Drosophila melanogaster: one gene and its partners. Changing the gene in region 1 together with any one later gene gives a genetic interaction. Each region holds a gene or a part of one and is shown in the gene's direction. Other genes may lie near its edges.

Evidence for each region.
Region 2: of MTF-1 (region 1) and CG10505, changing one suppresses a phenotype caused by changing the other (phenotypic suppression), as found in Drosophila melanogaster (one study listed by BioGRID).
Region 3: of MTF-1 (region 1) and Ctr1B, changing one suppresses a phenotype caused by changing the other (phenotypic suppression), as found in Drosophila melanogaster (3 studies listed by BioGRID).

The regions. Positions count from the first base shown.
Region 1 is NT_037436.4:9,428,456-9,433,327, forward strand, and holds the start of MTF-1 (metal response element-binding transcription Factor-1), read left to right. Parts: upstream 1-1,856; 5' UTR 1,857-2,066; coding exon 2,067-2,878; intron 2,879-4,872. Other genes in the region: RpS17 (ribosomal protein S17), read right to left, coding at 419-659, 719-870, 1,240-1,242.
Region 2 is NT_033778.4:21,284,698-21,291,939, reverse strand, and holds CG10505 (uncharacterized protein), read left to right. Parts: upstream 1-1,596; 5' UTR 1,597-1,611; coding exon 1,612-1,694; intron 1,695-2,113; coding exon 2,114-2,344; intron 2,345-2,415; coding exon 2,416-4,648; intron 4,649-4,712; coding exon 4,713-4,863; intron 4,864-4,923; coding exon 4,924-5,872; intron 5,873-5,928; coding exon 5,929-6,220; 3' UTR 6,221-6,692; downstream 6,693-7,242. Other genes in the region: CG30392 (uncharacterized protein), read left to right, coding at 1-13, 81-298, 359-654; MFS16 (major facilitator superfamily transporter 16), read right to left, coding at 6,714-7,085, 7,142-7,242.
Region 3 is NT_033777.3:8,315,697-8,319,755, forward strand, and holds Ctr1B (copper transporter 1B), read left to right. Parts: upstream 1-1,915; 5' UTR 1,916-2,040; coding exon 2,041-2,100; exon of another isoform or gene 2,101-2,310; intron 2,311-2,741; coding exon 2,742-3,206; 3' UTR 3,207-3,509; downstream 3,510-4,059. Other genes in the region: Coq2 (coenzyme Q biosynthesis protein 2), read right to left, coding at 1-694.

The DNA.
Region 1 (4,872 bases):
TATAGCTACCACCCATCATATACATAACAAATAATTATATATACTGGCATCAGCGTACACGATTAGATTTAAATATTGTGCACTCGTAGAATATCTTTTATATATCGTCTGTGTAAAAACGAACCCATATATTTATGGATTGAATATAAACATATTTACAAATATGTGCATGTCTACAGTATTTTCCATTCGAATGCGAATAAAGATGATAAACGGAACACAGACTTGGGGTTCTTGAATTTAGATCGAGTTTCCTGCCTGGTGAGCCACTTTGGAAACGATGTTCACTTTGGATATTTTTCAATCGAATACGCATAATTAATTGAAACACAAAAACATACACTTTAAATGCACTTCACACAAATTTATTGTGATCCCATGCAAATCAGAACATCATCATCTACGCGCTATACAAATCTTAGTTGCGACGACCAAAGTTGTTGGTGTTGGGCTGGGTGAGCTGCAGGCCACGGATGTTGTGGAAGTCCAGAAGCTTCAACATCTCCTTGGTGTCGGCGTCGACCTCGATGATGTCCTGCTCCAGAGCGGAGACGGCCGGGACGTAGTTGTCACGACGCTCACGCTCCTCCTCCTGCAACTTGATGGAGATACCACGCACCTGGGAGTGACGCAGGCGGCCCATCAAATGGGTGACATAGCTGGAAAGGAATTTGGGGATTATAGATCCACTCACTAACGAGATTTGAGCGGCACTTACCCGGCAATCTTGTTGCGCAGGGGCTTGGTGGGAATGATGGCCACCTCCTCGCAGATGCGCTTGTTGGTGTGGAAGTCCAACGTCAGGCGAGTGTAGTACTTCTCGATGATGACCTTAGCGGCCTTCTTCACCGTCTTGGTTCGTACGCGACCCTGTGGTAGTTGATAAAATGTTTAGTATCACGATAGTTCAATCCATTTTGTTGTATCTTTGCGATAGTTTTCTGTCACAACTAAATAGTTATTTGCAGCTGATTTTCTGAGATAGTTGCGGCATTTTTCGGGGACTTTTAATGTAAGAGGCCTTCACTCGGTTTTAGTTTAGGTTTCTTTTAAAGTTTCCGTTTGAATTGCTATTTGGTATTGATATTAAGGACGGTTTCAAGACGCCGGATACAAATAATTGCTTTTGGGGTAACAAAATTGGCACTATGCACGTGGGATAAGCGGCTGTCGTTGCCGTTTTATGCTTGTTTGACCGCTTTTTGATTCGAGTTCAGCCAGTTTTTCGTTGGTACGTACCATTATGTTGCTCGATGGATATTTTAATCACCGCTAAAATGAGAAATAAGCAATTATTTTTAAGAAAAACGTGGAGAAACAAAATTTGTGCACATACCTCGCCGGAAACGAAAGAAAAAGAAGGATGCCGTGTGACCAGGGTGGTTGTGTGAAAAACATACTAAAATATACCGCAAATATACCATAATTATGCAAATCTCGAAGGTAGATGAATTAAATAGAAATAAGAGAGGACTTGAACCTTAGAACACATTATTTAACAAAAACCGCATTATTGTACTAAACATTTTAAATGAGACTATTGTACAGTGCAATGGTACCTAAATATGGGCTAGAATACTTGTTATGAAACAAACTCTTTTTTATAAGAAAATATATAAAATCTTTAAAAATAAGTCTATTCGGCAGTATATTGGTTTCGCAAATTTATTCATTCTTTAAATTAGAACACCTTAGTTTCAATTTCACACCACGCTTGGAGACTCCGCCTAAAACTCTACACGCGGTTTGAGTCCCCACTAAGCGGTGTCCCCTTTTGCGTTCCACTATTTTCGGTATATCCCAGTTTATGGTATATTTCAGCCAGAACCGCGTTATATTTTGTCGTTCCGCCCATGGTCACACTGGTTCTTATCGTTGTTGCTTGTGCTTTTCGATCGCGGATGTGTGCTTTTCGATCTCGCGATCTCTAATTTCTTTAGCAATCTATATATATGTACATATTGCACGGTGGCAGCAGAGAAAGAGAATAACAACTGCATATCATATGCGATATAGCAAGCGTTTGTCTTAGTGTGCGTGGGTGTGCAAATAACAAATAATACGACATGAACGACCAAGAGAAACAACACCAGCAACAACAACAACACTACTTCCACAGCGAGTGGAAGACTACCGCTAATAGTCATGGAAATTCGTTATCAGACAGCCGGGATTATGATACCAACTCGTCGCGCAATTCGCTTTCCGGCTCCCCGCCCGTCACATCCAATTGCTCCTCCTCTGGTTCCCTGGACTTCGACAGGCCACTAGCTCAGTTGCTCGAACCGAAATTGGAGGCCGACGGGCTGGGCATCATCCATGGGGACAACTACAGCATCTACGGCAGCCAGACGGCGGAATCCACAAGTGGCGAGCAACAGGTGCTTAATCTGGGCCTCACCCTTGATACGGGGGACGCCCAGGCGACATATGGCGACCTATTCGGTGCCCAGGATCAACTCACTGCATCTCAAACTCATGGCCATTCACAAGTTGTTGTATCTGCGGCAGCGGACAACGCTTTTTCGCTTGCGGATCAACTAACACCATTGCCCATCACGGTCATACCCATCACATATCACCATACCACCGAGAATCTCAGCTCCAGCCACTCTGAAGTTCCGCTGATAGCCAGTCTGAGCGATATCACCGCCCAGGTGTTCAATCTGGATGACATCTGCTTCACGCTGGAATACCAGTTCGAGAACCAGAGGCTCGTCCAAGTCCAGCCGCCCACTGTGGTCTCGCTCAGCATGGTGTCCAGCCCCAACGAGGCTGCAAATCCTCCAATCAACTGTGATAACGACCAGGGAACTGGAAACAGCATCTCTAGGGACTCCACATCCAATTCTCCAGCTTATTTCACAATTGAGACGAGGTATTCCCCACTTGCACGTACACCCACCGCTGCATGTGTATTTTATGATTTGCTTGTATTTGGAATGTTTTTTTGCTTAGGCGTGGTGTTTTATAGATATGATAACAACAACCCGTTCTGGAATTGCAATATTATTCGTGTAGAAAAATGTAACTATAATTTTATATAGATTCAGAACTATATATTGCCTTAAAAAATCGGTTCTCGAAACTTCGTACATATGTGTGTATGCATATTGTATATATATCGAAGCAAGAATTTTGCCATATATTTTAAACAAAATTCAAGGAAAATTATTGAATTCAAAAAATCAAAATAAATCATAAGTCTTGGCAAAGCATTTTATTTGAGATATTGAATTTGGTTCAAGCTTTGAGCACATAATTAATTCATTAAATTTATGTTATGATTAGAGCACAGAATTATGAAATATTAAAAATATATACACTTTTTTGCCGATATTATTTAATATTTAATTTTATGCCAGTCCTTGAAATCGTTCGATTGCCTTACGAAAAAAATCACTTAATTTCGATTTGGTGCAAAAGCCAGAACGGGAATAATAATTGCATATTTTTAGTGTCATGTATGAGTGGATTTGTGCTTGGTGCTTTTGTCGTTTTTTGGCCAATTATAGTGGGCCGTCAGGTGTGCCTTGCCCTCCGCATTCTGACCCCCGCCAGGGACACCACCGCCCCTCTTCGCTGCTAATTTTCCACTGCCCACACACAAAAAGATTCTCGAGAGAGAGAGAGAGAGAGCGCGGAAAAAAGGAAAACATTTGCCTAGCGTCTGTCGTGACGTGTCCGATTTTTTTTTTAAATTTTATTTCACTTTTTGTTTGGCTGCCCACGAAAAAAAAGAGGCAAAATCGAATTTTCATATTTTCTTCCTTGTCGAGAATTTGTGTTGGCAAATTTCAAGCGTTCCAATGTCCACTTATTACAACGCGGTGTCCGAATCGCTTGCAAGTTGCTTGCTAATTGCCTGATTTGTGTTCTCAGCCTGTTGCATTTCTGCGCGCTTCAATCGACTCGACCAGCGCATACCCTCGTCGCAAACATCCAATATTACCGAGACTATGTGCCAATGGGCATCATAATGGCTGCATGCCTTTGGGCCTCCACTTCGGCTGATGATTGTATCGAAAATCATTTGTTTGGGCCAAAAATAGTTGCGGCGATGAACGCATTTAGATTTCTACCCCCACCCCAAATGCCAAGCAGAATGTATAGATGGATATACATATGCATACATAGATGTATATTTCTACAATGTGTTAGGCGAAGACGACCGAAAATTTCCCCGAAACTCATTAACACTTGATGTAAAGAAGCCGGTTTTCAAAAGAATCCAAATTGTAGTGGCTTCTATTGTGAAATTCTCCCCCAACAAAGTGCGATTTGGCACTATAAAAAGTTTTCTCTATATATTCTATTTTTCCCAAAGGGTAAAAATCGTAAATGTCTCAAAGGTCTTTATTCTCTAGAAATAGGCTAAATAACATGTACAGCTGATAGGGCTTTTAATATAAATACAAAGCAAATCAGTTCTCCCGAAACTTAGTTAACAACTTTGTGATAAGTCACGAATGCTGAAGGGTTTACACAATGTTTACTCACATTTCAATAGATATGGATGATACAGGAAATCGACTGATAAAATGTACAGGGTAATAGATAGACTTAGACCAGCTGATACGTAAAGTACCCGATTGATTGAAACCCTTCAAAAGATATGCGGAATCGGTCATAAACTAAATTTTCCCGCGACTAAGTCCAAATGATCTGTTGTGATGGGCTTAGTTCGCTACGTTCTACATTGTTGTTGCTCTTCGCTAGCTCATTATTCTGCGGTACAATAATTTTTCAATTTTTCATCCGTGCCTTGCTTGTTGTGTTCCTTCCTTCCTGCCGTGCTCCCCGTTCGGCGACGACGCCCTCTTGCTATTTTTACCGCCATGAGTAGTGTTCCCTCAATCATATTTCTCATTT
Region 2 (7,242 bases), on another chromosome or scaffold:
AGGAAATAATGAAGTAAACTGAGTGATTATGATGTTTATGTTTTTTAGTGGTGCTCTATTGGGCTTTCGGTGTTCATTAGGTTCTTCCAGCTCATGGGCAGTGTCTTCAGTTTTGTCAGCAGCGATGTGCGCAGTAAAATAGATATCTTATACGCCCTGAGAGCCAAGGACGCGGAGGAGCAGGAACACTTTAATACCTTCAGAACCATGCTGGATTACGAGAAGGAGGCCCAGTTGCTTACTCAGAAGGGTTACGTGTCTGGCAGTCGAACGCTGCTACGTCTTCATCGCGGTCTTGGTGAGCGTTATGCGCATATAACTGCCACAGTGGCTAATTGATTGGTTTCTTCTTATCTAGACTTTGTCTACGAGTTTCTCAATCGGATCCAGGCGATACCCGACGACCAAAAGACTGTGGACGTGTGCAAGGAGGCCTACGATGACACCCTGGGCAAGCATCACTCATTCCTCATCCGCAAAGGAGCGCGCCTGGCTATGTACGCGATGCCCACTAGGGGAGATCTTCTCAAGAAAGTGTGCTCCGATGTCGAGGCGGCCAAAGAGAACCTGCCTTCCATGCTGAAGCATATGAGAACCAACTACGATCGCACAGAAGACCTCTACACGCTATACGATCTACACAGCCTGCCTTAGAATCCATACATACATAATCCATATCTATACATCTGGGGCATTCAAAAGATCTGATAGAGTGATAAATACCAAAGTTTCCCTACTTTACCCTAGCCAGAAAAGATGCCTATAATATGATATTATACCATACTTTTATAATATGCTTTTGTACTGTATCTAACTCTCTATCAGATCTGGTGTCTACCCCGGCGTAGATTATGTAGCTAAAATTTTCTGTATTGATTGTGTAACTGCAAGTATTCGTTTCCTAAGACGTAAGTTTTAATTTTGCATTTTGAATTGCCTGCAATCGCTCATCTATCGCCTTGTCCACAGGCTGTGCAATATTTCCAAAATCCCCCGTATTTTAACGCCATTAAAGCTTTAGTCATGAATGAAAACTTGTCTTATCTCTGGGTGTATTGAACTTGGTCAACCTGGACAAACATAGTTTCTCGTGCCAGTTCCAAATATAACAGCATAATAAGCGATCCCGATTAGATAAGCTGCTGGGGGAATGCTACCTCATAAAAAACCCACTTCGGATACAAATGGCTTGGCGTATCTGCTTGTGATTATGGTCCAAGACAAAGACCGCTAAAACTCCCCTATATCTCCAGAATCCAGTCAAGATATATGGCCATTTGGGCTTAGCGAGCTAACTTTTGGAGCGCAAATTGCAGTAATGGCCGCCGTTTCAATTGCAGTCTAATTGCGCTATCGATTACGCCTTAGTCACTATCACTACGTATCACTATCAAAAGCGGTGAACTCTCAAAAAACGTGTTGAGTTGGCCACTTTATCGCCGTTTGGACAGGCGTTGTGCCAAGTGCAAACCGTAGAAGATGGTGGTTCTCCGGACAAATAATCCACAGACGTCACTGCTCCGTCTGTGAGTGCTGAAGTCGTTAAAAGCGCCTTCGACCGTCCGTTTTGGGGCATATTCAATCCGTCTGGCGCCGCGAGCATATGGAGCCATGGATGCTTCTAAGCAGTCGAGTCCGAAAAGAGAGAGTAATCCGTTTATCAAGGCCAATATAATCTCTAAGTGGCTGTTCCTGTGAGTCGTCAATATTTTTTTTTTATTGGTGAAAAGTGAAAATCTCTGCGGAAACGATGGTCATGGTCAATCAGTGAATAGTTTACAACTCGCGATAAGGATAGTGCTAATTGTTGCTAATAAGTGCTGATAAACAACATCTCCGAAAAGTTTAAGCAAAAAAGTTAAGATACTTGTAATGCCCAGAAGTCAGCTTTGGAATATCTTTTTCAAAACTCATTAAGTGATAATGGTTATTTTTAACCCATAGTTTCCACATGAGATTTCGGTCATAAATCGGAATTTCGCGATATTGATTGACCATTGACTGTTGGGCAGTCACGTAGTAATGCCCTGGATCAGACATGCCATTTGCAAGTCGCCTACCTTGGAGATACTTTGATAAGATATTGAACGACTTATCATTTTTCCTCCTTCAGATGGATGCACAGTGTTTTTCGGAAGGGCAGGCGGGAGGAGTTGGACGCGAGTAAGCTGTACGAACACCTGCCCAGTTTCGATAGTGAGTCCTTGACCAGAAACCTACAGCCCCACTGGGAGAAGGAGTCCAAGAAGAAAAATCCGAGTCTTATGCGGCTGATCTTTAAGGTCTACGGATGGCAGTTTGTTCCCGTTTGCATTTTATATTCTCTGTTGGAAATGGCTATTCAGTGAGTACAGAATCTAAATATACTTCCGGAAATCACAGCAATCTCACTTTTCACTTCCGCTTTAATTGCAGTTCCTTCCAGCCTTTGCTGCTCGGAGGATTGATCTCCTACTTCGCCTACGGCCAGACGACGGTGACCAAGGAGAGTGCCTATCTGTACGCCATGGGCATTGTCCTGTGCTCGCTGGTCACCTCCCTAGTGTTTCACCCATTTATGTTCTACGTATTCGCGGTGGGAACGCGGGTCAGATTGGCCTGTGCCGGCCTGGTCTACCGGAAATGTCTGCGCGCCTCGGCGAGCAGTGGCGAAGGACTTGGAGGCCAGGCCATTTCGGTGATGTCCATCGATCTCTCGCAGTTCGACTTGACTTTTTACTTCTTTCACGACCTGTGGAAGGGTCCCGTGGAGGCCTGTATCTTTGGCTACTTGATGACCCGCCAGGTGGGCTGGACATCACTGATTGGAATCGCCTTCATTGTGATATTGATACCCCTGCAAGCCTGGGCCGCCAAGGCTTCTGCTAGTTTCGGCACCCGATCCGCCAAGCATCGGGATGCACGGGTAAAGCTCATGAACGAGATCATCGGTGCCATCCAAGTGATTAAGATGTATGCGTGGGAGAAGTCCTTTGGACGCCTGATTGCCGCAGTAAGGCAGTCGGAGGTAAAGGCCATCCGAGGATCCATGAGCATATACGCCGCCCTGCAGTGCACCAATATGATCTCCAAGATATCGCTTTTCCTGAGTCTGGTGGCCTACGTGTATGTGGGTGACCTTGTGACGGCCAAGAAGGTGTTCATTCTGTCTTCCTACTACGGCTTACTCAATGATTCATTGCTGCACTACTGGCCCATGGCCATCACCACTTGGGCTCAGACTCTGGTCAGTGCGCGTCGAGTAGTGGAGTTCCTGCTGCAAGTGGAGAAGCCGACGGAGGAGTCCTGCTGCCGAGACAATCCCGGACTGGAGTTGGATGCAGAGAAACCGAAACCAGCACAGAGTGGGCGGCTCCACTGCGTACAAAGTGAGACTAAGTGCTTAAGTTTCCGAAAAGTGAGCGCGAGTTGGGACAAGCCGAGCATAAAGCAACCTAGGAAGCCACATATTGAGGGTATCTCCTTTCACATCAACGCAGGCCAGTTTGTGGGCATTGTGGGTAATGTGGGCTCCGGAAAGAGCACCCTTCTTCATGCCATTCTCGGTGAGATCGAGCTCATGCAGGGACGAGTTGAGGTTCATGGCAGGATTAGCTATGCCGCCCAACAGCCGTGGGTATTCCAGGGCAGCATCAGGGAGAACATCCTGTTTGTGGAGCAATACGAGGAGAAGCGATACCGAGCAGTGGTCCATGCGTGTCAGTTGGACAGAGATTTGGAACTACTGCCACGCGGTGATGCCACCGTTGTGGGTGAGCGAGGAATCAGCCTGAGTGGTGGCCAAAAGGCCAGGATTGCGCTAGCCAGAGCAGTGTACCGCCAGGCGGATATCTACCTATTCGACGATCCTCTGGCCGCCGTTGATGCCCAGGTGGGTAAGCTGCTGATGGACAAGTGCTTCCACCGATTGCTGGATGGCAAAATGCGCATTCTAGTCACTCATCATGTCCAGTTGCTCAAGAGTGTGGATCAACTGCTGCTGTTGGAGGGAGGAAAGCTCACCCAGCAGGGTAGCTATGAGGAACTTAAGGACGTTATCACCCACCATGCTGCTCTGGATCTGGAGGCCATCGAGGCGGATAAGCAGCAAGTGAAGCGTGTGCTCAGCCAGGTGGACAGGACGTCAAAGCAGCTAAGCAAGGGAGAAGAAAAGGATCCTGCCACCATCCAGGATGAGAATGGCAATGCCGAACAGCAACTTCAGGGTGCCGTGAGCTACGATACCTATAAGGCTTACTTTCGGGCTCTTGGCGCTCCATTCCTGGTCTGTTTGGTGCTCTCCATGTTTGTCCTGGCCCGAGGATGCCAGGCCGTCATGGACATTTTCATCTCACGATGGGCCACTTGGGAGGAGGATAGAGGGTATGATTCGGTGGATGACTATGAAGCCACTCGCACCAAAATGGTTATCTGGTATACGGTGCTCCTGTTGCTCACTTTGGCATTGTTCCTGCTGCGCACCTTTGGATTCTTCTTCATGTGCCTGCGCATCTCATTGACATTGCACGATCAGCTCTACCATGGGATAATCCGCGCCTGGATGTACTTCTTCAATGCTAATCCATCTGGGAGAGTGCTCAATCGATTCTCCAGCGACATACAGAATGTAGATGTGAATCTGCCACAGGCTATGATGGATTCCCTTCAAGTAAGTACACCTAGCTCAACCACTTCTTCTTTAGTCTCATGCAATTCTTAATCTTGTCCCTTAGTTCCTGGTAGATGTGGTGGCTGTGCTGGTGATCGTGGCCATCGCCAACTATTGGCTGCTCATCCCAGCAGCCATTATGGTTATACTATTGTATTTCTGCCGTGCCCTCTATATAGGCGCCAGTCGAAGTCTGAAGAGGATTGAGAGCTTAAGTAGGTTCAAATTTATCAGAATAATCTAGCCTTACTAACTTTTCTCATTTAACTTAAAAGCACGCAGTCCCATCTACTCGCACACAAACCAAACCTTCCATGGACACTCGACCATTAGGTCCATGGACGCCATGCCGCAGCTGGAACAGACTTTCCATGGCCACCAGAACACAAACTCCTCTGCCCTTTTTCTTTATGTAAGCGCCAACAGGGCGTTTTCCTTCTGGACCGATCTGATTTGCGTGATCTATATCCTGGCGGTGACCTTTAGCTTTCTGGTTATCAATCAGAGCTTCTACAGCGGTGATGTGGGTCTGGCCATCACCCAGTCCATGACATTGGTGATTATGTGCCAGTGGGGAATGCGCCAGACTGCCGAGATGGAGAACAATATGACCAGCGTGGAACGTGTGCTAGAGTACGCCCAGACGCCATCGGAGCCACCACTTGAGAGTCCAAAGAGTGTGAATCTTGCAGCTGAATGGCCGCAAGCGGGTCACCTTCGATTCCAGGATCTTCGCATGAGATATTCCCCGGGAGACGAGGATATTCTTAGAGGACTGAACTTTGAATCCCAGCCCATGGAAAAGATTGGCATTGTGGGACGTACTGGAGCGGGAAAATCCTCTATAATTCAAGCTCTATTCCGATTGGCTCTTAATGAGGGAACCATCGAGATCGATGGACTGGACATTGGTAAACTGGGTCTCCACGACCTGCGAAGTAGAATCTCGATTATCCCACAAGATCCGGTTCTGTTCTCTGGAACACTGCGCTTCAATCTGGATCCATTTGATGAAAAAAGCGACGAGTCCCTGTGGAGTGCATTGGATGACGTCAAACTGAAGAAGCATGTTGCCTCATTGGAAGGAGGTCTCTCCTGTCGCATGCAGGACGGTGGCTCCAACTTCAGCATGGGTCAGAGGCAGCTGGTCTGCTTGGCCAGAGCCATTCTACGACAGAATCGAGTTCTGGTCATGGACGAAGCAACTGCAAATGTGGATACAGAGTAGGTTCTTAAGATATTATTTTCATTTTTTTCGTAATTAACACTTTATCTCTTAGAACTGATATCCTGATCCAAGAAACCATCCAGACCAAGTTTGCTGAGTGCACGGTTCTAACGATCGCTCACAGATTGCACACTGTGATGGACAATGACAGCGTCCTGGTCATGGATGCTGGCCAGATTGTGGAGTTCGGAGCACCTCACAAGCTCCTGCAGCGCAAGGATGGAGCCCTTCTTAAGCTCGTCAATCAGAACGATGCGACCACCGTAAAGTTCCTCAAGAGGATTGCATCAGAGAGTTATATGCGCCGCAACAGAAGAGACTCCTTGACCATTTCCGAAGAATGAGCAAGGATCGCCAGCGGAAGCAGGATTTAACTTAAGCATCGCCATTGAGAAATTGTACTGCCGCGGAGAACAGTCAAATTCGGTTTTATTGGTACGAAAAGTGTACGATAAAGTGTATTTACATAGCAGTAGAATTACGCTAGTACTAATGATAGTTCGGCACTTAAAACGAGGAGACTCTGACACACGCGCGCACACACAAGATTACAACATAGATGTATGTATATATATATATATATATATATGTATGTAGGTAATATATCAAAATTGTAAACTTGATGGATAGCCTAAGATGATGGTAAACATTCCATTTAAAATAACATTAGGTATTGACATGTATGGGTAAAACTAGGATCAGAAACACTCTGATATGCTCTCGAATGAAAAGAAAACGTTCTTTATGTTAGCTATACAAATGCTATGGTATGTACAGAGAACGCTAGAAACAAAAATATATATATGGTCAAACCACATCCGCTTCAGCTTCTTCCTGCTATTCAATCCGAATACGATGCGATGCACGACGCAGTGCAGCGAACTCCTTGAAGACCAGTCGCCCCAGCAGCACCATGGCAATGATGTCGGCAGCGATGAGCATGTGGAAGACATACTGCCATCCGGCGGTGGAGATAAGGCCGGCAAGCAGTGGACCAACTGCCGCTCCGATTGACCCAGTACCATCGATAATGGCCGTCACCGTGGCCAGAGCATTGGCATTTCCCTCCAAGGAGCTGTGCTGGCCCAGCTCTGCACTTACAGAGGTTGTAATCAGGGCATATGGTCCGTTCACAAAGATGCCGACCACAATCAAGAGCACTATGCTGATTGTCATCGACAATGCACCATATTGTTGATACATCAGCAGCTGAAACGAATACATGTTCCTAGTAATGGTTTCTGTGGCTTGTCTAGAGTACTTACAATGGGCGAGGCAACGAACAACATGCCTGTGCAGACGGTGGCCGACATTCCGCTCACATCTGATAGATAGCCCGCAGCTATTGCACCCAAAATACCACCCA
Region 3 (4,059 bases), on another chromosome or scaffold:
CCTGGGTGGCACACCAGCCCAGTAGGGCGCCCCAATTGAAGGCCATGCCCAGAACCAGCTGGGGCCAGTAGGTGACTCTTTTCATCAGCGGATACGTGATCACGAGGCCCAGCGAACTGGCGCCCAACAATATGGATTGCCAGTTGAGCTGGACCAGCACCAAAAGACCCAGACTGAGCTGCGCCGAGAGGAATACTATGGCATCGAACTGACTGATCTGACCCGAGGCCAAGGGCCGCAACCTCGTGCGCTCCACTTTGGCATCGATGTCCTTGTCCCAGAGATCGTTGATGGTGCACCCGGCGCCGCGCATTATCAGTGCCCCGGTGCCGAACAGACCCAGCATGGTGAGGTCCGGCCAGCAGCCCGCATCCGCGCTGAGCGCTATGCTCCAGGCGCAAGGCCAGAAAAGGAGGTAGGTGCCAATAGGCCGGTCGATTCGCATTAGTTGGGCATAGGGTTTGGCGGCCGACACGAGTTCCTGCAGCGGCGTTTGCTGCTTCACGGGCTCAGTGGCGGTACTCGAACTCCTGGAGCATACATCCTGCAGCCGGGACTTATCCCAAGTGCTCCAATCTCCAATCAGAACACGCGCTGGTTGCCGGGGCAGCATGTGTTTTGTTGTTGCCGCCGCTGCATAAGAGCTGCGGAAGTGCCTAGCGCTCTGGAGTCGCAGGTGTCGAAGCGCATACATTGCGATTTGCCTTGCACTAGCACCTTCAACGATTAAAGCATTAAGTCACACGATGTTAAGTTGTATTTGTTCGTAAACTCACAGTCAAAAAATGGCAAGATGTTTAATGGAACTTTGGTTGGGAATGTCAAAGGGCTGCCATCCGGGTAAAGGCAGACAAAGAGTTGCCGGATAGATGAAAAAACAATATGATCCGGTGGCACTGCTGCATTTGGCGATAAAAATTTGAATTTAAGTTTCAAAGACAAATATATTAAAGTTGTAAACAACTTGTGTTAATTGTTAACTTTTGAGTTGTGTTTCACCAAAGTCATATTTATATATCTAAACACAGAAGAACATATGCGGAATGTAGTTCTTCGTTTTACCAATACTAATAACTAAAGCTTCTTTACAGTTATCTCCACCTAAGCAGTTTAGCAAAAGCTTTTGCTCTCTTTTTTGCGTAGACCCAACCATTTACCCCTCTGCAATATCGTTAATGTTTTGCGCACGTCGCCCATTTTTCGAAATTGGCACACGGCGCAGGAATGTCCGTAGAATTTATGCACACGGCCGCAGAAGGTTTGCGCACGGCCATCAATTTTGGCGGCATTCTATCCCAGTTAGAAATAGCACAGTAAGAAATAACACTCTAGGAAAGCCAAGTGGACTAAGGCAGACCTCCGGCGATCCGGCGGCCGACGGTTGCTATCGCTCCCATGCCGGAATATGGGCATATACCTACGTATGAATGTACTCGACTAGAGCCATAAAACCGTGATCGAAGCGAAGAAATAATGGAATTATTTCAACATCATGTATTACAGCAACAATTTCAGGGGGTTGTATTAGCCCATGATTGATAATCTGAATTGCAATAAATTCTGCACACGAATCGATTGTCGAACCTTTGCCATGAGTCCATAAATTAAGCTGCAAACCGCAGAGAAACCCACGACGCATCAATTATGGATTTTATCTCTCGAGATAAAGATCTGCAACTGATACCCAGAATATATCTTTTGATCTGACCTCTAACACTGAGATCTGCATGCATTTATGTTTATTTACATGACTGTATCTGGGCTGCCTTTCTTAGTGTGGGGCGACTATCGTTGGTATCGCCGCTACTGGGTGATAACGCTCTTTCCCATTGCCCATAGATAAGCGCACTTTCCTATCGCCGCGTCGGGGGATTAGGTGCGATTTTCTTTAAAAAACCACTCGCGAGCAGCGGGTTTCAAGCAGTCAACGCTCTGCTCTCAGCACCTCAGCAGGTCTAGCTCTTATCACTGTGCCTCCCCGATCGCCAGTCGGATTTTCCACGCCTTCTATCTATATCTATACTACACCAGCAGCCCAAGATGGATCACGGCTCGGATGACAGCACCAGCACGGCCAAGTCCTGCCCTATGATCATGGTGGTGAGTACGCAGTTACACAACTCCTGTGTCCAACAATTTTGATACAAAATCACTTACCACTGCGCTAAACGCTGTAATTTAAAAGTCACTCATCCAGTTTAGCTGAATGAGATTTGCACGGAGAGCAAACAAATATCTCGTCCGACTTGGAATTTGAATTCTCTGGCTAGTCACTCCCTAGTATAAGTTCGTATAAGTATGTTTATGTGCCAGAAACCACAACGAATTATTCGCTCTCTAGCGCTTTATTCGCTCTCAGCAAATACAAATAATACAAATTGAATATGCTCGAACAGGGTGTCTCATGAATAAAGATTCATGGGTTAAATTATACCGCTGTAAGGGAATTATAAAAAAGATGTTTAATTCGAATGTTATGTTTATGTTGATGTTTAATTGGAAAGCTTAAGCTTGATATTTTATAAAACTAAAAGTAATATTAAACTTTTGTATTAAGGATCATCTTAGCAAAAGTGACCATATAGATATACCTAGATATTAGATATCTAGGAATCTAGATATAGATACGAATTAGAAAGTTATTAAGTGGTAATTAGTGGTAGTTAACTGGTATTTAAGCCTCATCTTACTGATCTTATGGATTCTTATGTAGTTAATCTTTCACTCTCGCATCCTTTCAGTTCCACGCTGGACACTGCGAGCGAATTTTGTGGCGCGGATGGGTGGCGTCCACTGTGACGGAGTTCGTGCTCTCCGCCCTGGCCATCTTCCTGGTGTCCTTCCTGTATGAGGCGCTCAAGTTCCTGCGACAGCAACTGGCGCGCAGGGAAGCCCGTCGAGCAAGCGAGCAGCTGGCGGCGGAGCAGCGTAGGAAGAACGAGGCTCCGGCAGCCGGAGGATGCTGCTCGGAAGCTCCCCTGGCGGAGCCGAGGGAGCAGACCTACTGGCAGCGCTTGTTCGCCTCGTCGCACATCGTCCAGTCCCTGCTGAACCTGCTGCAGATCGTCATCTCGTACCTGCTGATGCTGATCTTCATGACCTTCAACTACTGGCTGTGCCTGGCAGTGATCCTGGGACTGGGTCTGGGCTACTTCTTCTTCGGCTGGAACAAGAAGAATCCCGACGAGAGCGAGTGCTGTCCTTAGATCAAGAATATCGCTCTTAATTGTTTATATATCTTGCAATTGTTATAAACTAAGCCCTTATCAGTTCTTGGTTCACACATCAAAGAAAAAGTCCCGTCCCCACGTAATTATACAAATTGTTTAAAAATACAATTTTATTCGATAGTTACACTTGGTTTAATTGTTATTGATGTAATCGTAGCATAAATTAGTCAACTAGTTTACTTAATGAGCATATTGTACAAATAGTGTAGTCATGAGAACAAGAACCTATACAACGCGTATTCATCTAAAGCGATTAAAGTACTACTCAATACTTTTGACTTTACAATATGTTTTTATAAGCAATACACTTTATTTTTGACCACCCCGAACTCAAAACGCAAACAATCCGATATGAGACAAAAAAGAAGGCAAAGTTAAATCTCCAGGATTACATGAAATTCGTTATGAAATGCGAACATTACCAGGTCTGAGTCCTGACAGCCCACAACTCACATTTGAAGGCCTAACTAATCACGATACTCACCTATCACACAATAGTACATATTTTAGTTTAGTTAAGATCTTGAAAAATCTTTTTAACAAATATTTTAGCTGTGATACATCTGGGCAGGTAATATAACTAAGCAAACCTTATGATTATGTGAATCATCTCGCACACATTTTTTTACGACACTTTATCTATTTGTACTTGCCTAACCACACACCAGTATTTGCAAGCTTCTTAGTTAAAGTTTAAATTATTTTGAAATTTCCGGGATAATTATAAGTTCTTTTAGTGCATTTGTTTAAAATTTGAGTGACAAGTGAGCGCCATGATGAGACCATTCCCTAACTAGCTCTTAGACTAGAGTAACCTAGACTGAACAAC